3 linked regions of the Oryzias latipes genome follow. The protein of the gene in region 1 interacts with the protein of each later gene in a biochemical or structural test. Links are inferred from orthologs where the notes say so. Each region holds a gene or a part of one and is shown on either strand. Other genes may lie near its edges.

The links. The genes of interacting proteins can lie anywhere in the genome.
Region 2: the proteins of tfap2a (region 1) and cbp/p300-interacting transactivator 3 form a complex in vitro, tested with the Homo sapiens proteins (2 studies listed by BioGRID, with this or other methods). The link is inferred for Oryzias latipes from reciprocal best matches to the Homo sapiens genes TFAP2A and CITED2.
Region 3: the proteins of tfap2a (region 1) and kctd15 form a complex in vitro, tested with the Homo sapiens proteins (2 studies listed by BioGRID, with this or other methods). The link is inferred for Oryzias latipes from reciprocal best matches to the Homo sapiens genes TFAP2A and KCTD15.

What each region holds. Positions count from the first base shown.
Region 1 is NC_019878.2:13,123,796-13,131,550, reverse strand, and holds the start of tfap2a (transcription factor AP-2-alpha), read left to right. Parts: upstream 1-2,765; 5' UTR 2,766-3,001; coding exon 3,002-3,052; intron 3,053-4,242; exon of another isoform or gene 4,243-4,855; coding exon of another isoform or gene 4,856-4,882; intron 4,883-5,276; coding exon 5,277-5,696; intron 5,697-6,591; coding exon 6,592-6,640; intron 6,641-7,755.
Region 2 is NC_019874.2:22,627,962-22,635,656, forward strand, and holds cbp/p300-interacting transactivator 3, read left to right. Parts: upstream 1-3,331; 5' UTR 3,332-3,548; intron 3,549-4,258; 5' UTR 4,259-4,263; coding exon 4,264-5,022; 3' UTR 5,023-5,690; downstream 5,691-7,695. UniProt on the Homo sapiens protein: Transcriptional coactivator of the p300/CBP-mediated transcription complex. Acts as a bridge, linking TFAP2 transcription factors and the p300/CBP transcriptional coactivator complex in order to stimulate TFAP2-mediated transcriptional activation.
Region 3 is NC_019861.2:30,681,569-30,689,120, reverse strand, and holds the start of kctd15 (BTB/POZ domain-containing protein KCTD15), read left to right. Parts: upstream 1-3,188; 5' UTR 3,189-4,998; coding exon 4,999-5,201; intron 5,202-7,552. UniProt on the Homo sapiens protein: During embryonic development, it is involved in neural crest formation. Inhibits AP2 transcriptional activity by interaction with its activation domain.

The sequences.
Region 1 (7,755 bases):
TAATACGGGAGTTTTCAGGGGTCAGCATGTGGTTTCTGGAATATGCCGGAGGCCTATTGCTGTGCTGAGTTGTGGTGGAAGTGGCTGAAACTGAACCCCCATAGAAAGGCAGCATATTCAAGCAGGACTGCGCAGTTCCCTGAGAAACAGTTCTACTTCAAAACTTACAACTGCCCTGCGTAGAGCCCCAAACAATAATTCTGCCCCCCACCACACGCACACACATACACGCACACACACCTCCCCTCCTGTGAAAGCTCTTCTTTGTCCAGGTCCTTATGGCTGCAGGTACTGCGCGCAGTTAAAACACAGCTTGCCTTTGAAGTCAAACTTAAAGGCTTGTTTTTAAATATTAACACCGAAAAGAAGAAAATCTATTGACTCCTCGCGGAATTCTGCATGTGTAGGGAAAAAAAAGGGGAGATAAAAACAAACAAAAAGTTGAAATCGGAGTATTAATTTTAAAACTACAATGCTGCGAGGATTTCATTCATGTGACAGCAGCGGGATCATCGTGCTCGCTGCTGTAGCCATCTTTGTGTCTGTTTCTCTGTGCTTTTCTTCAAAAACCTCAATGGACAAAAAAAAGAAAAGTTTTTTGGACTAAAAGAAGCTTTCACGGATGTCACCTATGTGCACGCGCACATGTTGCTCAGCTTCACGTGTGCGTGTAAAGTGCGCGGATGAGAGGGGTAGAGCTCATTCGCTCTTGGCCTGAGGTAAGTATGTATTAGAAATAAACAGTTGATAAATAAAAAATGATCCCCAACAAAAGCAGAGCATCTTCCTGTAGGAGCTGATGCTGAGAGGTAACCTTCAAGTTTTTATTTCTTTTTTTAAGTCGACACATTCATTTGCAGTAAGAGTTCATGCTTTACTTTCATAATGTATGGACAATTAAATATATACGTAAATTTTCAGTTTTATCCCTATTAAATTGAAATATTTATGATTTTGTTTCACCTTATTTTTAGTGTATTTTAAATGTTTTCCAATACATTATCATTGTAAATTAAATTAACCAACAACAACACTCATTTCTAATGTATCTGCAAATGTATGGCATTATTCATTTGCTTTTCTGATTTAAAAAGTGCTGCAATAAAAAGATTATAGGCTGTGAGTCAGAAAAGCAGACCCACAGGGCCTTTTTCACTTTTCCTCAGGTACGCCACTTTAGTTGTATTTATTTTTTATTTTTTATGTATCCACACCCGGTTTGGATTGCGCATGCGTCACCAGGTATGCCCCGCACCATTTTTTTCTTTTCTTTCATGGACAGGTAAGACGATTGGTTCTAGGTGAAAAGTAAAGGTTTACTTTGGGACCGGAGGCTTAATGAGAGGAGCAGCTCAATACAAAACAGAAAACGCAGAAGAAGACAAAGAATGTCAATTATGGGGGAAATAGGGGAATGGCAGGTATGTGTGACTTCACTTTCAAGACAAGAAGAAAAAACTGAACAAATCTATATGAACTGTCAACTTGTTTGCTTGTTTGAACACGGAGCTGGATGTGAGAGATCTCTTCAGAAAAAAGAAAATGATCTATCATTTGAGAGTGTTAAAGTTGCTTTATCTGTGAAAATCAGCAAGAATTTGATCCAAGAAAACATTTAAAAAACAAATTTCGCTGATTAATTAATAATGCTTGGTAGGAAGGACTGAAAAATATTTTTTATCTTTTGAATTTTTTTTCTTTTCCCAGTTTAGCCCAGTCTGTTTAGTTTAGCCATTATTGAATTCTATTACTTCATGTTCTTTATGATTTCATGTTTATTATTCAATTACCGGTATGAAGCCCATTGAGACGACTATTGTTTTAGTATTGGACTATATAAATAAAATTGAATTGAACTGAAATTGTTTAGTTTTTAAATTATAATTTGCAGGTTTGAGTTTGTATCCAGACGCAAATGTAACTTTTCGCCTTTAATTCCTGGCTGCCCCAGGTCCGGTGCGCACACGGATATCTGACCTCTCCGGTCTGAATCTGCAGATTTTACCAAACAACTGTCCTTGTATTTCTGTCAAGTGAGAAGCTGAAACAACCCAAGAATCGTTTCTGGTTTCATTCGGTCAATCGCTTTCATCGCCTCAGACTCATTAATAACAACTGACTGAGAAGGGAAGAAGAAGAAAAAAAAAGAGTTACTCCACCAAAAATGGTAATCTGGGTTTCAGGCAAGAAAGAGCCAACGCCTTTGCAGAGCTGGCGACCTGTCTGCTGACCCACGACCTGCTGAGGTGCAGGCTCGACCGGCGACAGGGCAGAGCCAGGCTCCCCCCCGGCCGCTCATTCAAATGAAACAAGGCCTTGTTGTTGTGTTAATTATTGACACCCCCCTCCTACCCAAAACCTCGCTACCTTACAGGTAGTCAATGGACCTGTAGTTGGAAAAGCTGACTTTTTCTTTTACATAACATTGTCAGGAAAGCCTGTGAAGATCTCAACTCAATGGGATTAAAATAACACATCAGTTTAAGGGGGAGTAACAAATAAATGATCAACGTGAAATTTGGGTGATTAACTTCAGAGCAAATCCAGCAATTGAAATGTATTTCTTTAAATGTGGCCTTAAGGATTTATCCACATTTTTCTTGAATAATTTAAATAAATAAAAAAATATTTGCTATATGTTAAGATACAAAACGACAGTCCCAGGTGCAGGTTTCCACATCCCCTCCCTTCCACGGGCGAACACACCTCACCGCGCAGCAGAAACAACAAAGGAGCTGGAGACTTTTACCTGTCCAGTGGTGTTTGTGCGTGCAGATGAGGGGGAATCAGAACTGCTGTTGATATGCTAATGAGGCCCTTATGCCAGCGTTGTTCCAGAACTGCTCCAGCCCTTCACTTTCACCATTAGAGGGAGACCTCAGAGCGCGAGACAGACAGCAGCTCGCAGCTTCAATAAAAGTAGTTTTTTCTGAGCGGGGGAGCACAATTCACCGAGTGAAAACAAGACTAAGGTGATACTCAAAAGCCACCTCAACGTCCCATGAAAATGCTCTGGAAATTAACTGATAACATTAAGTATGAAGATTGCGAGGTAAGAACAACTTTTCCAATTATTTTAGAATTTTGTCTGCATTTTTTTAAAGTAAAATTTAAAAAAAGGTGTTTCACTTTTCTAAATCAAACTTATTAAATGCAGAAATTACAAAATAGATTTTTCATTGATTTATATAAATTATAAAATATTAAAAACACAATAAAAAGTATTACTAATAAAAACAATGTTCGTTTTTTAGTACAAATTACTTCATATTTAAATAATGACACGTGCATACATACAAATGTTAACATGCACTTACCATTTTAAAGGAGTTACGCGCGTAAAAGCTTGGTGCAGTCAGTTTTATTTAATGATTAAATGACATCCACATGTCCCCTTCACTATGCGAGTTGGACTTGTGAAAATGTGCGTGTGAAGTGTCTGCGTGCATCTTTGTGCGCAGCGCACATTGCCTGATCATTGTTTTGGACATAGTCAAAGTTTAGCAGACATATCGGTGGCTTGTTTGAGGGTGGAGAAGCCAGTCAAACGAGTTTTTTTTTATTTTTTGTGGGGTTCTTGTACGCACTCGCGTCTTACATGGGAACGGACAGAGCTGATCAAACAGAAAATAAATTGACGTTTGTGTGAACATATTTTTATTTACTTATTTTTTGTTATTTCCTCCTTTGATCAAAATAATGTTTAGATTAGCATTTGAAGTCTGGTAATGGCTCATTGTTAGGTGATTTTGGAGATAAGGAAGGAAGTGAATCTTTGGAAGCCGTGCGTTAAAAGTTCGTTAATGCGCCTGATCCAACGGACCGATCTTAGAGCGTAATTTTGTTTTCCCTCGTCTTTCCGGGTTAAAGTTAAAGCTTGCCCGCGCTGTTCCGTGACTTAGAGCCGAAGAAGAACTGGTTGGATTAAAATCAGTGGAATCGAAAGCAGGAGAGAACCATGGAGGACGGCTCCGTGTCTGAGGCAGAAAACAAAGGGGCAGACGGTCGGAATGAGTCGATCGGTGCTTCTCCTGCCGGATTTTCACCAACTTCAGAGGTGCACATTATTTCCTCCTCTCGCTCCGTCTGCCTCCTTTCATTCCTGTCTTTCTTTCACTTTTGCGCTTTGGCCCTGGAACTATTTCCAAATGCGCTCCCTCCTCCTCCTCCCCCTCTCTCTGATTCGCCAGGCGAGTGAATGTCCCTCTTTTTTGTCTCCACTCCCCTCTCCCTCTTTCTCTCTCCCTCCCCATCCCTGATTAGATATACTGATTCCTCCTTTCAATGGACGTCATTTAAGCGTAGACTCCTGCCTTGAGTTGCGTCCTCTGCTTCACGCCAGATTTCCGACCATTCTTTCCTTATTATTTAGGATTCCTGTAATATTAATGGTCACGAATGCGTTCCATTAGGAGTCCAAGAGGGAGAAGCGGCTCTTTTGGCTAATATGAGCTCAAGCGAGGGGACGGTAGCACTGTGATAGAAGCCGGGGGAACGCAGAGAAGAGAGGGGCTGCCAAGAGAAACTTTTTTAGCCCAAATCCACCAGCAGCGCCGCGTCTTTTTATTATTTTTTTTATTATTTTTTTATTTTTACACCCCTCCTGATTTTGTAGACGCAAATGAGGGGCGCCTCGGATCTTACCTTTTACTTCTGATGGATTATCGTCCTGCTGTTGAGGCACATATCTGATCTCCGGGGCCATCGCGATCGTGCAGGAGAGAAGAGTCTTCTCGGGGGGCTTTTTTCTCCTTTCTTTTGCTGGCTGATTTTGCCCCGCGAAGTCCGTGTTTTTGACCTGATTGCTGCTGGGTTTTTCTCTTTCTGTTGAGGCGCACCAAAAAAACCCTTACAGATGTTAGTGCACAGTTTTTCCGCGATGGTAAGTTTCTGGAGCTTCACTGTATTTTTTGCGTTTTCAAAAACATTTTATTTTATAAATTTTATCTTTAAAGTAAAAAAATTCAGAATAATCTAAAAAAATGTATAGAAATTTGGATTTATCTACACCCATTGATTTGTTCTCAGATGTAAATTGATTTCTAAAAAATATATTGTTGTATTTGAGTCTTTTAGGGCCACTAATTCTTAGGAAATGTGTTTTCTTTGCAAATTAAATTTTGATATTTGTCTGTAAAAAAATCTACTAATGCTCATACTTCCAGGTCATAATCTCTGATAAAAAAGCCCGCAGAGCATCCAAACAGCATCAAACCAAATTCATTTAAAATTCATCTCGACTAAAAACATCCTTTTGTTCTGTCCCCACCTGCCAGGACCGTCACGACGGCACCAGCAATGGGACAGCCAGGCTACCTCAGCTGGGCGGCGTGGGCCAGAGTCCGTACACGAGCGCCCCTCCACTCTCCCACACGCCGAACTCAGACTTCCAGCCCCCGTACTTCCCACCGCCCTACCAGCCCATCTACCCGCAGTCTCAGGACCCGTACTCGCACGTCAACGACCCTTACTCCCTGAACTCCCTGCACGCCCAGCCGCAGTCGCAGCACCCGGGCTGGCCGGGGCAGAGGCAGGGCCAGGAGAGCGGCCTGCTGCACCAGCACCGCAGCCTGCCACACCAGTTGTGCCGGGAGTACCGCAGGGAAGTGCTTCTACCGTCCGGCCACGGCATCGATACAGGACTGTCGGACTCTATCCAAATCCATGGAATACCTCACCCTTTAGATGACGTTCAGGTGAGGCTGCGCTCCTTCTTCTTTTTTATTCATTTATTTTTGTTGATTTTTTTAAAAAGTCTATTACACAACACCATATCTTTCATTGTGGTATTAATTTATCCTGCAACACGCCTGCATCTGAATTAAAATATGTATTATCATATTTAAGTTTTTTTAATGGAAATTTTTTCTAACAGAGCACGAATAAATTATTTTAATTAACTATTTTTTTCAAAAAAATGCCATTTCTATTAAACTAAAAATATTTTTTTTAATTTTATTTAATTTTAAAACGGAATGCTTGTCAGTTTGGATGATTTTGATATTATTTTATAGCTAAACAAATGGAATTGGTCATGTTAAAGTCGATTTTCGTTGGATTTTCTAAGTATGTCATTTTGTATTAGAGCTCAGCGTTTCACAAAGTGCAGCTTCCACGCGAACAACAGCGTTGTAATACATTACATGCTTTCTAACAAGAAAATCGAGTTTACTGTATTGAGTTGTGCTGCTCTGATATTGTCAATAAGCCTCTTTCTTTTTTTCCCCTCCCAGTGTTTAATCAGAAACAAACACCAATAATTCTCTAATTAGTTCATAGGCCTTTAATAGGCTGCGCTGGCGTAATTACTATCCAATCTAGATTAGAGGTTTCCTTATGAGAAGAGCCAATCTAAAGGCGAAATTGGGTCAGGATTATGGGACGACACTGCTTCGTTATTTAAGTCTGCACGTCCACCCGCTGAAAAGCACCGGTGGACAATAATAAGAGAAATTGGCCCAGAGAAAACGGGAAACATTGGCTGCTAATTGTGTTTGGCTTTGTTCGTCCTGAGATGCCTTTACGCACAAGTATGGCTGACTTTTCGTGGCTTTGCGCACCAAAAATTGATTTGATGTTTTTGTGTCACAGCCTGAGGATCAAGGAATTCACATTCCAGACCAGACTGTAATTAAAAAAGGTAAGATATTTCCTCTGAGATATCATGCATGTTTTTTTTTCCAAGCTGCACACGTCTTAGATACACCAACAACACACACTCCGTTCCCTATTCTGCTTGAAAGAACCCGATGCGGTAATGCCTGACTGATCCTAATACGCAGTAGCCTATTTTTCATTACATGGTTTCCAAGTGCATCAAACTGGCTGCACCTTTTCTCCCCCTCGCTGATGGAATTTATTGTCAGCGTTTCGGCGCAGCGGGGAGATGAGTGGAGCTGGGGAGCTTTGTCGGCTCGTGCTTTGGATGGTCAAAGGTACAGGCCCATAGACGATGATGGCACTTAGGAGGCAATAGCTGCAATCACGCAGCATGGCCAAATCTAAAATGGAAGCTGGGATTGCTGGATGGAGCGCAGACCGAGTGTGCAAGATGATAAACTGTCATTTAGGGAGGGAATCAGAAACTGGATATGGAAAAGTGACAGGCTCATATCCCGAAATGCAATTTTATTTATATTTAGTTTGCTTTGATCAAGCTTGTTTGGTTATTTCTTTTTAAAATGTATTTTTTGTCCCTAACCCTGAGATTTATGCTGTTGGTGATGCAACATAAGGAGGCCTGTTGTTCAAAAGCGTTGTGTCAGGTTGAATTAGACCTCTGCAGCTGAGATGTGAGACGATTTTTTTTTCTTTCTGTTTGTAATCCATTTTTCATCTTTTTTTAACCCGAGTTCGTCTATCTGCACATCAACATGATAATTGGCTTCCTATATTAGTAATCTCAAGAGTTCGTTTAGCTCCTATTGTCTCTATTAGGCTCCCTTGAGCCATTAATGTCACAAGTGATCTATCCAAAGGCGCGCAGTCCCCCTTTGTCTCCGGTTACTGCACACCGAAACGGCGCAAGGCCCGGCTGTGCTGAGCCTCCCTCCTCCCCCTCACGATCGCTCTGCCGGTGTGAAATCCACACGCAGGCGGCGGCGGGATTTTGCAGGAAGCCGTAGATATGTCAAAATAATCTCGAATGAATCTCCTAGGTTGCAGAGTTTTTTGCGTGAAAAATGCGCAGTTCTTCCTCTGCGCAATGCGCTTTTTTGGACATATTTGCAACAAAAAATGCACACTAAAAGTAAT
Region 2 (7,695 bases), on another chromosome or scaffold:
CCGGGTAAATACTCCATTATGATTAGCAGCTGGATGTGGATTAAAATAAGTTATACCACACCTAAAAAAGAAGTTTCGGACACATAACCCAAATGTTCTATATCTGTGTGCTAGCCTAAACGCAAGTTTGTGTTATTAACATTTTCTTCACAAATAATAAAAATAAAAAACATAGGTTGCCATACCTTATTCCACGGTTTATTACAACAGCAAGACGGTAGAAAAGACCAGTGATTTTATAGTTTACTTTTACCTATTTGGTTAATTTGGTCATTTTGAAGGAGAGGAGAAAGGGGGACAAGGATCTAAAAGGAGAAAATAAGACATAAAGAACAGCTGAACTGTTTAAACTTTAAAAAATTTTTCTTTGAAACAAACTTTTATATTCCAGACCCCAAATGGGTGATTTCTCTTCAAAATTTCGATTTGTTTTTGGCACACAAAAAAGAAGTGGTAAGAGGTGAACTTTATCTCTGACAAAGTGCTGTCCAACATATCAAGTAGCATGCTTTGTGTAGAAAAAAAAGAACCAAAAATAAACAGAGAAATTTAATAAAAGATGATTGAATACATATTTCTTTCTGGAGTGTTCGACAATAAGAAGGGGATGGTGTTGGCTTCTGCATTCTCCGCTAATAACTGATAATACACAATTCATCGGACATTGTCCATTAATAGTTCTAAGCATTTTTATGGATAGAAAAGGGAATGAGGTGGGGGTAAGAAATGTTTTTTACGGTACATCAGCACAAAATTCCGTCTCTCCGTTAATGGTCCCTTCGTCGAGTGAAAATTTCCAGAAGGCACCTTGGATGTTTGCTACAAGTTTGAACCAGTTGGAATGAGAATTGGCTCCTTCAAGTCTGAGGTCATACTATTCAGTCAAAAATGGTGGACTTTCTTCTTCGTTTAGGGAATCAGGTGCTGTGTTATCTGGAGGAAATTTAACATCTATGAGGCTTGTTCACAAGTCATGGTAGATTGACATGCAAATTGGGACATCTACAGGAAATGTAATCATAACTGATGTTTTACACATCAAACCACATTTCAACTCAATCTGAGTCTGCATTCCTCTGGTCAGATTTGACCTCCATATATGTGTGAAAAAATGGATAAATGCACATATCATTAGCTGTCAGAGCTACTCTTTAGAAATTCAATTGAGTGCAATAATATTCTTACATCTTTCTCAATCTGGATTACAAAAACCACAACAAAAACTCCTGACAGGACTAAAGTCACTCTTTTATTTAATAGTTTGAAAGTGTAATTTACAAAAAACCAAACATTAAGATTATTTATAAAGTTGCAAGCATTTTGCTGACGATGGAGGACATAAAATAATTAAGCCTAAAATTGCTTATCTTAGTATTTCTTTATTCAAACTATTGTAAAACAGGAGCAGACAAAAAATACAGTATGATAATACACTGGGCAGGCCACAAGCCCCCTGCTCCGCTCCATTCTGATAAATCCCCTGGCAGACAAATCAATCCACGTACGTCTTTGTTTTCCTCGTCTTAGTTGGCATCTGGCTCAAAACCGTACAGACGGATAGACGGATGATCAGAGAGGGACTTTAGGAAGAAAAAACAAAAATTAATTTAAAAAAAAGGTGGCTCCAAAGTTACATGTGCACTTTTACGTTAAATTACCTAATCGCCTTACCTAAGAAGAAATAAAAAAGACGTTTAATAATGTGGAATTTTGTTAACTTTTTGCACCATTGAAGTTTGTTCTAAAAAAAAGTGCTTTCAAAAAAACAAACATAAACTTCTCGACTTGGACTCCATGGTTATAGAGTTTTAGGGATGACGGTAGAAAAGAACTCCTCTTTCCCAATTATTTACTAATATTTATTTTATGCTAAAAAGGAAATCCAGCATTGCTAGCCAAACAATCAGTTTCTCGACTGCCTAAACTGACAACTACATTCTGCATATTTCCTTGCTTTGTTTTGTCTGGGTGAGTTAATATCTTACAGGTCTGAAGTCTTTTGCTCCTGCAAACCCAGAAGAGCATAATGCATGCTTTACAGTGTGGTGCAGATTAGCTTTAAATACTTAAAGCCTATTGCACCTACACACACAGTCACATGAACTCTTGTGTGTTCTTTCTTGCTGACATGCAGCCCCACATGCACACACTAAAGTAAGGATGAAAATCAATAAAAGCCTAAAGAAGGTTTGCGACGACTTTCCCCTATAGCAGTGAGCACAGCCAGACATGAGAATAAATCTAAAAAAGAAAGAGTTTTAAAAGGACAGACTAACAGACATTTTACCTAATAAAAAAAAAACACAAGCTGGAATGGAAGCATAATTATATTCTATATTTTCAGCCATAATCATGGCTGATTGGGGTTTTATGCAAATATCTCTGTATTTTAAGCAGATGCTGGGATTTGATTGGTGAGCTCCAGATGCAAGGCACGCCATTAGGAAGATTGGCCCTGGGATGAAAATAAAGGCTGTTTTAATGCATTCTAAAGTGCTTCACTGTTATATTACCTCGAGCTTGTGCAGTCGTGCACTCTCTTGGTTCTACAAAAAGATTGCTGATCCCAGCACAAACTTCTGTTGATTCTGGGTTTTGTTTGCGCTGACTGACTAGCTCAGTTTTTTTTTTCTTTTTTCAAAAGTTTTCTCAACAGGGAGTGACTTTTAAACATTTGCTTTTGGACAATGTCTCACAATCACAACTGCCTGGTACTCTGACAATAGATCAGCTTGCTCCCCCAAAGTGGATGCATTCATTAATGGGTAAGAAGTCATTGTCCTGAAGTGGCCAATCTAGACAAGAGTGAACAGTGGGTGCACACAGATGTACACACACACACACACACACACACGCATGGAGATACATGCACGGTTCCACAAGTAAATAAGGTGAATAAGCACACATGCACAGCAGGAGCTGCACTTGCAGCTGGAGAGGCCACATTCCACTGCGTTGCTTACAAGGAATCACAGAGGACTGCAGACTGGTGGGCTGCATTTGCAGACAGGTATCACAGCGACTTTGCAAGTGCAAATTCCAAGGTAATAACCTTGTAATGCATGTGCAATGAGAACATGAGTGTATTCAGACAATCTGGCAAAATGTCTACTCCATGAGAAAAAAATGTATTAGTCATGCTGACATATTTGGATACGTTTCAAATGTTCTATTTTGAAACAAGTAATTAAAATTAACTTTGCGCTCCAACCCTCCAACGGCCCCTTTTCCTTTACGCCCATGCACAATTGTATTAAGTAGGGCCAATAGGAACAAAGGAGAGGCAGGGCCGAAGCTCCACCCCTCCCTGACTGCCTTCCTCAGAGCTTTTTAGATGTACATAATCCCTGAGTTGACCCAGAAAATAGGCAGTCGTTTCAAGATCTGACGCGGCGGTCGTAGTGCGCACCGTCCCCGCCTGAGCATGAAGCAGACCCCCGTGGAATATAAACCCTAATTCAGAGGAGCTTCACCCCTCCGTGGAGGACGTTTGTGTGGAGAAAGCGCGAGGTGAAGCAAAGTCGCGTAACTTTGTAAAAACGACACGGGTGAGTGATTTTGGTTGCCTTTTTTTTTGGAGACGTATTGCTCCGCGGTGGTCTCAGGGGCTCCTGCTGCTGCTCCATTGTTTGCGGAACCTTGCTTTAAAAAAATCCCACTCATCGTCCTGCGGGGACACCACCGAATCCAAACGATCCCGTTTATTTAATAAGTAAAATCGGGAGTGTGGATTCAATTGTTGGAATTCAGCTGCGGGGTTGATGTTGCATGATGTCAGTGTTCTTTGTTGCAGCGGAAAATGTTGGATATTTCTGCCTCAGCTGTCAGGGAACCGCCGCGGGTACATTTCCAGGATGCTGGCGGATGTTTAATTTTTATTTATTTATTTGGGAGGGGAGAGGGGGTGGTTGGTCATTTCTCGCCGTGCGTAAATTTACGCGTCAAAATGTACACAAACAATGCATGCATGGAACCTGTAATCTCACGCTGGGCGTTCATGCTCTGGCACAATGAGGGGAGGGTTCAGGAAGACTCAACACACTGGCGAGGGTTTCTAGTGTTCGCCAGGAGGTATCACAACCCTGCAGATGTTTGGTTCCAAAGACGATTTCAGCAGCACGAAGAGAGAAAACAACGTTTCAAACTTTCTATATTTTATTTTATTGAAGTTTACTAAAGAAGACAGCTCACCCTGGTAAATATGTTTTTTCTGCAGAAGTTGGACATTGACCTAATTGTGTTTCTTCTGGACACACAGGAGGCATGGCAGATCATCTGATGATGCCCATGAATCACAGCTCAGCAGGCGCCAGTCTCCACGGTTATAGGATGGGCATGAATGGCAGCCTGCAGGCAGGTCACCAGCAGCACGCCAACCAGCAGGGCATGCGGGCGATGCCCAATGGGCAGATGATGCACTATGGAGGCGCTCAGGCCAACATGGAGAATGCCATGAGGCAGCGGCAAGGAATGGTGGGCGGGCCCATGAATGGACAGCTGAACGGAGCTCAGATGGGACACCATCAGATGACCTCCAACAACATGATGTACAACGGGCAGCCTCAGCAACAGCACCACCCTCAACAGCAGCAGCATCACATTCATCCACAGCAGCACCAGCAGCAAGCCCAGCACCCCCAGCAGCAACAGCAGCAGCAGCAGCAGTTCATGAATGGGGGGCTAACATCTCAGCAACTCATGGCTAGCATGCAGTTGCAGAAACTCAACACGCAGTATCATGGACATCCACTGGCTCCTATGAGCGTGAACCACATGGGACAAACAACCCAGTATCGCATGAGCCAGGCTCAGCTAGCCAGCATGCAGCACATGGCCGGTCCAGCTCTGGCCTTGAACGGCATGGATGCAGACATGATTGACGAAGATGTCCTGACGTCACTGGTCATGGAGCTGGGCTTGGACAGGGTCCAGGAGCTGCCAGAACTCTTCCTGGGCCAGAACGAGTTTGACTTTATCTCAGACTTTGTCAGCAAACAGCAACCCAGCACAGTCAGTTGCTAAAAGGACTTTTATTTTGTAAAATGGGGGGACAAACCAAGAAGAAGAGGGTCACAAATCCAGGATGGAGGAAGAGATGATCTCTTTTTGGCTTTTACGTCGAGAGCAGGGACCTGTACAACGGAGTGAAAGTTGGAGAGCAGAGTGCACAGAGAAGAACTCCGGATCTCCAGAGTGAACGCACAAAATGCTCGAGTCTCCTGCGTCTTTTTGTGGCCAAGTTCCTTTTCTCATAGTTCCTGGAAACGAATGTAATAAAGAAATGCTGAAACTGTTAAAAGCTACGCTGAATAATTCTATGACACTATGTAGCCTCTAAGTCTGGACAGTTTTACAGTCAAAAGGTGTATTTATTTATTCCTATCCAAGAAAACTGATATAAGGAAGAGCCACCTCATGTGTTTTGGGATCTAAGTGGTTTTGTTATCTTTTCTGAGAGTAGCTTTGGGGAGAAATCGTATATATACAAGTTCTCTGCTAACAAGCCCCCCCCCCCCCCCAATTCTGTTTGGGTTAGTATTGAAATGAGCTCAAATAACAGTCCTATCTGAACTAGCCTTGTTTTCTTTTAGTTTTTATTTTTTATCACAAAGTCATCCAAACAAAAATGGTTCACTTTTTCCTAAAGTGTTGCCTTTTTTAGATGTGTTTCTTCTCAAAAAAAAAAAAAAGATCTACTGCTTTACTGTATGAAGTTGTATAACTCGGACATTTCCGCACTGTTGTGTTCTAATGGAGATGTAGAACTGCCTTAATCATGCAGATTTTTTATTTATTGGTTGTTTATGTTGTGCCATTTGTTTGTGGTCAAGATTGGAGGGGAGGAAGGGGGTCATTGTGAAGGGGTGGGGGGGGAGGATTGAGGATCAATAAAAAAGAAGAGCTTGGATAGAAGTGTGACCTGCTTTTCCATTCATTGCATAGCTTTTCCCTCAGGCGGCGAAGAGCCGGCTTGTGCCTAATCTGCAGGTGAAAGGAAACTTCGGTTCTCTTTGTAAGCGTGGAGTGATGTTTAACCAGCTGCAATATTTATGATTTTTTTTTTTTACCCTTTTTGAGATCTCATTCAGTTCTGCTGGCAGTCAACCTTTCCACTCTGAAAGCTTTGTGCCTCTGCTGAGAGAGGGATTGACATAAAGGTGTTAATTACCGTTCTCTGCTGGTTTGCAGAAACGGTGCATTACTCGTCAGCTTATATCAGATCTGACGCGTCAGGATGTGATATGCAAATTAGATTTACAGTTTGTCAAATATTAGCTGAGCAAATGACATTCGTTTGACATGAAAGGAGATAAGAAGGACTAATGTAATCCAAATATTTACAGCTTAGGCTAGGAAAAAAAACAACATTTTACCAATATTCGCTTTTGCAGCACTGTAAATGGTCTACAAAGTGTTACTGACTCATAATATCTGATCTAAAATAGTTTTACCAACAGAAAAAGGACCTCTCTATTAGAACTGCTTTTGTTTATGAAACGAGGATGAAGAGTTCCTCAGCGGTGGCTGAGTTTGTTAAATTGTTTTGTGCCTCCAGGCTGTGAAAATGCTTGATTGAGGTCATGTGGGGAATGTCATCTCCATATTGTCAACACGGGCATCTTTAGCAGCATCATGTGTAAAAAAGGGTGGAGGCAATGAGCGCAGTGTGGTAAAAATAGTGTTAGCTGATTGCTCACTTTTTCAGCCAGCCTGCCTCTTAAAGCAGCTCCCTTGGCTCCGTTGTCCACTTGTGCTGATGGCTGATGCGCTGAAGTGCAGTCGCATGATCATTGATGATCCAAACTGAAACACATTTGCTCAAACGTTTCCTATCGCATACCAAGCGCTAGTTTAAGGGGATGTATTTGTGTGTTTGCTTTTCTTGGCTTGACGCTGACAAGAGAATGGCTCATAAGTAGGCCAACGGCCTTGGCACCGTGCCTTGTGACGGTTGCAGGTCCTTTGCTCTGTGCCAATCTGGTGAGATGATCTTCTGGTGTGTGGCACGTTCAGCATTCTGGCGCACAATCAACTCTGTCTCCTCGTATATCTTGTAATTGTACGCTGCTCTGTGAGCTCCTTGTTTTACCCCAATTAAATGTCGAGGTTTTGCTTTGAGACTGTTACTCCATACACTAATGGTTAACTACGCCAAACAGCCTTGTTTGCTCTCCCAATCCCCTGTTATGACTGTACGAGTCCAGTCTAGACACACGCTAAGCAGGGTGGGACACTCAAGAGATGTTTACAGTTACTTGGTTTTTTTTTTCTTGCTTTCTCATTTTTTTTTGCCCACCCAAAGCAACCGCTCAGCACAACGCTTCCTGTGCCGGTTTCTCCGCACATGTCAGACACCAAAAGCCACATTCTCACAGAGGAAGCAAAGGAGAGTCAGTCGTAGAAAAACAATATGGATTTCTCAAGTCCGTTCTGAGAAATTCACTTGAGGGATTTTTTTTTTTCATTTACATCTTGGGGGTTTCTACACGGGCTTTCCCACAGCACTCATAGGATTCTGTTGAAGCTTTAAAAAACAAGACAAGTAGGGTGTACGAAGCAATCCACCATGCAGTCCTAGATCAACCGCTTTTTATTTTTATTTTTTTTTGCCTCAAGTACTATCTACTTTTCTCCTTCCAGGCTCTTGTCCAGCTGGTGCCAAGCCTGAGCTCGTGCTAATCTCTGGCCCAGGCT
Region 3 (7,552 bases), on another chromosome or scaffold:
AGAGGCACAGTTTTCATCCGGATAAGGTCATACATTAATTCATACATTTCATTAGCAGTTACTACAACCAGGAGAGGGAAATTCTGACTCTATGTGAGACCTCCATGTGGGTTTGGATTTAAAATCAAGCAGATATCTGGGTTTCTACATGTCAAGCCAGCAAACATTTCAAACTGTGCAGAAATGTAGCGGAATAATCCTTTGGAAAAAAAAAAACTAGAACAGAGCTGTTATCTTTTACTCCGCTGCATCACAGACACCAGACATCAATAATCTTATTACCTGGGTCAAAAAATGCAATCAAGATAAGCATTCTTGATCTTTAGAGGGGGGGGGGGGGGTCATTTTAATCAGGACCCATGTGCAGGTGGGGTTCGGTCCAATACCTGCAGAGGTGCAGGTCAGGGGGGCAAACCTCTGATTCTTAGCTAAACTGGAAGCTCCATGCAAATTTGCGTGATGACCTACTTCTTCCACACAGACACTGATAAAATCCATAAATTAAGGAAATTAACTGATGGGGCCCGGGGCCACTTTGTAAGCTATTTAAATCTTTAAATTTACAACATCCCTGCATACTTCATGTAATTGAACTAACTCCAGGCTTGTTTCCTTTAATGAGAAAAAAAATCTAGTTTCCCCTCCAGTTTGGACCCCTGGTAACAACAAATCTCTGCCAGGGGGGAAGATGGGAGCGCTCTGAGGCACGCAGGGGTCTCTCTAATTATGAAAACTTGCCCTGCTTCAAGGAGAGACACGTCCTCACACTCCCATCCATCTCTGCTGGTAAATATCAGGAGTATTTTTTTAACTGGGTGACTTCAAGCAATTTCAATGGTTGAAAATCGATACTTCAATGGAAAAATGGACACATGAGGACCAATATCAAAGCCGGATCTAGGCATGGCATAGGGGGGAGTGGCCCCTCAATGCAATATACCTCCCAAAACGTGATGGCCCACAATAATCTTCAATTAACCACAAAAAAACTCACAAAAATAAACACAAAAAAACCTCTAAAAAAACAGAAAATAAAAATAAAATGAAAGAAAAAAAAATGTGTGGACGACATAAAGATAGACTAACATAAAAAGAAAATAAATGCAGCCTCAAAAGGGCACCGAAGACCAGTGTCCTGCTTGTGCCTGTCCCAAGTCTGGAAATTGCAGAGGGTATAGTGTCAGGAAGGGCATTCAATATAAACCTTGTGAAAAAGTAAATATGTCAAAGGAGAAGATACATATGTGGATAGATGGACTGATATGTGACAGTGTGGTTTTCTGTGCATTTTAAGGACTTAGTGATATGACACCCCAAACTTCCAGCACTTGACTCGTCCCCTGATATTCTACTTGCACCCCATAGAGAGGCTGGCTAAATCCGGGCCTGATCAATGCCCTGAAAGAAAAAGAAAAAAAGGTTAAAAGTGCAACATAAGAAAGAAAAACTTGCATATGCATAAAAAATGCAGTCAATAATTTTACCAAATAACCAAAAAGAGCCATGTAAAAGCTATGGACCAATAACAAGTTCCTACACTGGTTGGCGCCAAATGCCAAGAAACGAGCGTCAGGCCTCTCTCACGAAGCCGGTACAGGATAATTACCGGGCTCAATGTTGCATCAATTATTCACAGTTATTTACCCGCAAATAAACAAACACTCAAATAAATAAATAATGTCTCCTCGGTGTGAGCACCTGCTTCTCCCCTCTGCAAAAGTGGCGCAACACTTGTGCGCCGCGCCGCTTGCATTGTGTCGCCCTGCTGCTAGAAAATAACAATAATCATGCCACAATCTTCCTCTCCAAAAGTCCGGAGGCTGCCTGCTTTCACCGGGGAGTGAGGAGGAGGAGGGAGAGGAGGAGGAGGAGGTGGATTGGGGGGGGGGGGGGGTGCTCTGTACAGATATCTCCATCTAAGCCCTGCGCTATAATTGAAATGGCGCATTTGGCTGCAGGCAGGTTGTGAGGGCGCTTTCTGCAGCAGCATGCATGCATGTCCATAGACGTCATTTGATTTTTAATGGCCTGCAGGAAATTTGGCGGTGCAACTCCAGACATTAAGGCAAAGGATAGAGGGAGAGGAGAAGAGAGCGAGGGCACGACGGAGAAAAAGCCCCACGTTTAAGATACTCATGGATTTTTCCTTTTTTTTTTAAACATATATTTTTTCTTTGACTACGACTTTATCAACAAGTTATTGCGCCTTTTGTGATCCGCCGCCTGAGTGAAGGATATGGCTGCCTAAACTTCAAATTCAGGCTGAAGATGCATTCCTTCTAACCGGACTGCTTTGGAATTATGAGAAGAAATGTCAATCATTAAAATCTACATCTAAATCTGGCAACTAATAGATGCCTATCAGGCTCCCGCCCCCCTCAGAATCCTAACTTTGAACCTTCAGAATGAGCGGTCTACTTTTGCCCTAAAAAGCCAAAAAAAACTTATTGTATCTGTGTAGCCATAATTTCTGGAATAGGGGAGTATCACGTTCTCTTCCTTGAGAAAATTGCCAGGGCGAGAGAGTGGAGTTGAGCTAATTGTAGCCTAATCCCTGGCCCAGAGGCGCCTGGGCAGCCCGGAGCAAGAATTTTCTTTTTTAGCTCCGCTCTGTTATTTAGAGAAGGATTATTGGCTTTCTTCCTCTCATAACAAACCACAGGGGCAGTTTCATTTAGGCAAAAAAGACAGACAAGAGGCAGAAAAACGAAGCAGGACTCCGGCAAGAGCGCACATTTTACGCGTATCCAAATAAGAGCAGAGAAGGGGAAGGAGATCATCTCATCTATGTTCAAGGTAAGGACGCTTCCTGTGCGCTTTGGTACAAAGACGCTTGGTGAGGACAGGTCGAGCCAGCCTTGCGATAGAGCCTTTAAAGCTACAGAGACTCTTTGAAAGCAGTCGATCCCGGCCACATCCCAGTGTCTTATAGAAAGCTACTTTCTGCGGGATTCGGACGGAATATTTTTTCGTGCAGCAGAGGCTATAGGCTCGTGTTGGAGCTGGATGGCGGCGTAGTTTTGACAGAAACTCGTTTGGAGAAAAAATTGAGGGTTAAACGCGGACAGCAGCTGCGACTGACCGCCGGCACGGATTTCATCTGGACTCCCTACAATGTTTGAAACGGTAGGGTGGCTGCTTATTATCACAGAAATCACTGGTTTTTACGCAGAGCGCAGGCTGCTCCGCAGGGATTTTAGGAGAACAGTTGAAGAGGACTGTCCGGGCTTTCGCTGGACCTTACGGGGGTCTCCTTATCCTCTGCTGAACGATTTTCACACGTTTAGCTTTAAGTTACACATGTGGGACTGTTTTTTTTTCCCTTACAGCGGGAATAAGACGCCATATTGAGCTTTTTTTTAGATTAGACAAGAGACAGAGCGGGCTGGTGCCGTTCGACGAGCGGAACGGACCTTTTATGTTTGTTTTGTCATAATGATTAGTACTGCCTTTTCACGGGGGGAACTGTGTGGATTTCATTGATCAGGAGTGAAGGGGGCAGACAGGGTCAGAGGCTGTGGAGATAAAGTTGATGCCTTTATATCAGATTTTGTGGCGGAATGTGTTTTATTGTGTGATTCATTGCCCGTGTTCCTGGTGCGTCTGTGAGGGAGGGGGCTCATGGAGAAATGGCAGAAATAGTGATGCAGTTTTTTAAGGACAGTGATGCATTCAAATACACGAATGTGCTTTGTGTGTGTGTTTTTTGATGAACTGGTTGTGTGGGCTAGAGGGGGCAGAAAGGCGCACCGACGGTGGGACGGACCCGGGTGTGTTTGTGACCAAAACTTTATTTGAGCTCCTCTAAGTTTTTTTCATTTCCCTTTTTTATTACAGTTTTCATGGGATTTGAAATGTAATCCCTCCTGCCTGTAATCACTTTAAAAGAACACGATACCACTCTGAGGAAGTAGAGGGGAAAAGCCCCACTTTGAGCCCTGTGGCTCCTCTCTCAGCGCCGCGGGCGTCATCTGTACTTTCACAAATGCCATCACTTAAGTAAATAAGCCCACATTTTCTAAAACAGCCTTACTTGTGAAAATGTTTGCTTTTTGCTTAGTTTTGACCAAAAAATGTTTCTAAGGTGGATCTGTGTCTGTTATCATGGTTTTAAATTAAGTGGAGTTTAATTTGGAAATCTGAGGCCAAATTCAGGTAGTAGTGGACGTATAATCTCTGTTGGCTAAAATTACGCACCTGCAGGATGGACGTATGAGCTCAAATAGTTATAAAAATTGTTTTGCAAAAACACAACCAGTTAGACGAAACAAGCTCATCGCGGATTTCTGAGTGTTCCCGGTGACCCCAGAGCAGCAGCACGTTGGGTTATTGGAGTATGGGAGAGGAGGTTCACGGAGAAGAGCACTTATTGTTTTGGCCTGTGGCAACGCGCTCGTTTTTGTCTCTGAGCTCCGGTGCGTTTTTACCCACGTTTGGAGTGCACGCGCTAAGGACGATTGCACAAACTCCAAATGTGCGCACGTTTGGAGCCCATGCAATCGTTCTCAGCGTAGTCACACGACGGGAGAACACCTAATCCTTGAGTGTCTGAGTGTGTTTGGGGGTATTTGTGTGCGTTGCGGAGGAAAGTTGCGCCCTCTCTTCCCGCTCACAGATTGGAGCTTGGCGTGTCTGGGCGCATCACGTCTAACACATAAGGCGACCTTTAATTAGAATATTGCAGTAGCAGTTTATTTTATCTCCCTGGAGGCTGACACCTAGCATCGCCCACCCCCGCCCTCACCTCCTCTCCCTTCCCATCTCCCTCTCTCTCACCCATGTTCTCTAATAAGCATCCTCCTATCCTCGCCTGCGGTCCTGCATGAAAAGATGCAAACATACTTAATTAGAGCGGTGACAATAATTTCCAGGCTAAATATGCGACCAGACAGACATGGAAGTGATCTGATGCCATTCAGAGAGGATACCATCTACTTCCCTGTCTAGAATCACAGTTCAGACTTTTTTTTCCCCTCCTCATCCTTGACTTGCATTCCCATGGCTTTCCTCTACACCTGCTTTCAGGAGGGAAGAAGCATGTCACGACTGTCTCTGACCCGGTCCCCGGTCTCTCCTCTGGCCGCCCAGGGGATCCCTCTGCCGGCTCAGCTGACCAAAGCGAACGCCCCCGTGCACATCGACGTCGGGGGACACATGTACACCAGCAGCCTGGCGACCCTCACCAAGTACCCGGACTCCAGGTAGGACGACTTTCTTTCACACTCTATTGTATTTATTATTATTATAAATATGTTTAAATGAAGCATTAAAAATGAAGGCAATCCCACAGTTATCCTATATCCCAAATCCCTTCTTGCAGACCACAATGTTCTCTTAATCTCCACTTTCCAAGATCTAAAGTTATGATAGTTTTTGATTTATTAGTGACTAAAGTTTGTTGATAAACAGCTTGCAGGCTTTTATGCATCCTTCCAGAGGTGTAAATTAAGATTTCAACTGCTGCACATGTTTCTCTGCTGAAGGCTCTGAAAGTCTTTGTGGGAATTTACAGTATATGGAATTTTTATTCTTTTTTTTTTTTTTTTGCAATGAACTCCAATCCTTTCGCAAGTTTTTCAACTTTTTTTGTTGTCAGTGGATCTGAGTGCTGTGAGGAATCCTTGGAGAAAAAAACAATGATGTAAAGATTTGAAATCATTTCATCACATCTGCTGTAGGACAGCTTCAAATGTGATTGAAGTCCAGTTCATTGGCGGGTTACATATTGACTTTCTTTTCAGCTCCAGCTTTAAGCACTTTTTTCTCTTGAACATCTTCTTTATTTTGGGGACATATTCCTTATTTTGTATTTAAATTAGTTTAAAACTGACCTCCTGTCCTGTTAGAATTATAAAGACTTTTGATTCTTTACAATGTGACAGAAAAGTCCCCATCATTCTGATCGACCTCCAGTTGTGAGATTTTATGATCCTGATTGATAAAAATCCCAAATCATACCTTTTTCAAAGAAATCCTTTTTTTGTCCACATATATTCTCAAAAGAAGAAGAAATCTCAAACTTCTGTCCCGGCTGAATTGCATTATCTCCCTGAAGCGTTCATGTCTAATGTATCATTCATGATATTACAGTGAATCCCATGTGGGCCAAAGTAAACGAACATAAGAAAATCAGCCAAACTGGCTACAGGAAACAGTCCATGTATTCCACTAGTAATAAAATCTTGATCGTCCACTGACGGGAAATCCCTGACAGCTCTGGCTTTGATACCAACACACCATGAGAAAAGTGAGTTTAACTCATAGGAAGGATTTAAGTTGATTTGGATCAGACGTTCTGGCCACCAAAGGTTATCTTAGGTCACCTCTGATTTTTTTTTTTGCTTGTTTGTTTGATTAAGTGCCATTTCCATCACTATGTATGCTTTTTCTGCAATCTTTCTTTCTCTTTCCATGGCTTTATTTTTAACAAAGAAGTTATTGAAAGAGCGGGCTCACAGGGCGCCGCGCACATGCCGCATAGAGCAACGTCAGAGCATCCAAACAGTGTTTTCACAGAAAAAGGCCGGATATCGGTGTCGGTTGGAGCGCTCTTTCCCTCTTCTCTCTTTTTCACACATGCTCCTTTGCTCTTTCTTTCTCTCTTCTTGTCTCCCTCTTTCTGTCTCTTGCTGTTTCTTTCCCACTCTTGATCACACACACAAACACACACCAACGCACACACACTGCTTCTCCCACACTCCCAGCCGCCTCAGCGTACACTCGCCCTCCGGGCTCCACTTTCCACTGAAGCCAGTGGAAGGAGGGGCCCTTTTGTGTGAATTAGGATAATGGCTGACAGCAGAAAGCAAAACAATTACACTGGCATAACCATGTGTGCCGCGTTCAGACACATCCGGTCGAGCAGGGCACGCAGGAAAAAAGCAGAAGAAGAAGTGACAACCAAAAGGAGAAGTTAAAGAGTTTGAAGCCGCTGATTACTTTTAATAGATCGGTCCTTAAATAATGCAGGATGCCAAGAGAAAGTTAGTCTAGTAACTAATGTGTGCTCATTCATCTTCTTCTGTGTGGGCCATATTAAGGGACAGGGGTCATAAAACATTGATGTGCACTCTGTGTAGCTCTCAAAGAGGACAGTCTCGGCACTCGACGAGAAGCTGAGGAAATTAGGGCAAATGTTTCTGAGACAAAGAAACTGTTTGAAAGGACCATTTTGCTCTTTTGGAGGATTCTGTTGTGAACAAGATCTAATAGATTTGCTCCAGTTCTGCAGTTCAGAAGTTTCTTCTTTTGGAAAAAGAAGTTAGTCTGGCATCAAGGGTTTGTTGTAAGAAAAAGTGGATATTTTATTTTTATTATATTGTCTGAATTTTAAGGCTTTTCTTAACCTCCTGACTGTCAGCAGTGCAAATTTGTCCTCTTTAGAGGACATTTCTGTACTTGAATATCCCCAACCACTGAAGTAACTCCTTTTGGTATCTACAGAGAACATCTGGGGCTTTTCTCAGTGATACCAAATGTGAATGGGTGGGGCTCTGGGAGTTGTAGTTTTTAATCGATTTTATTTTTTTTAATGGTGGAATTCATCCCAACT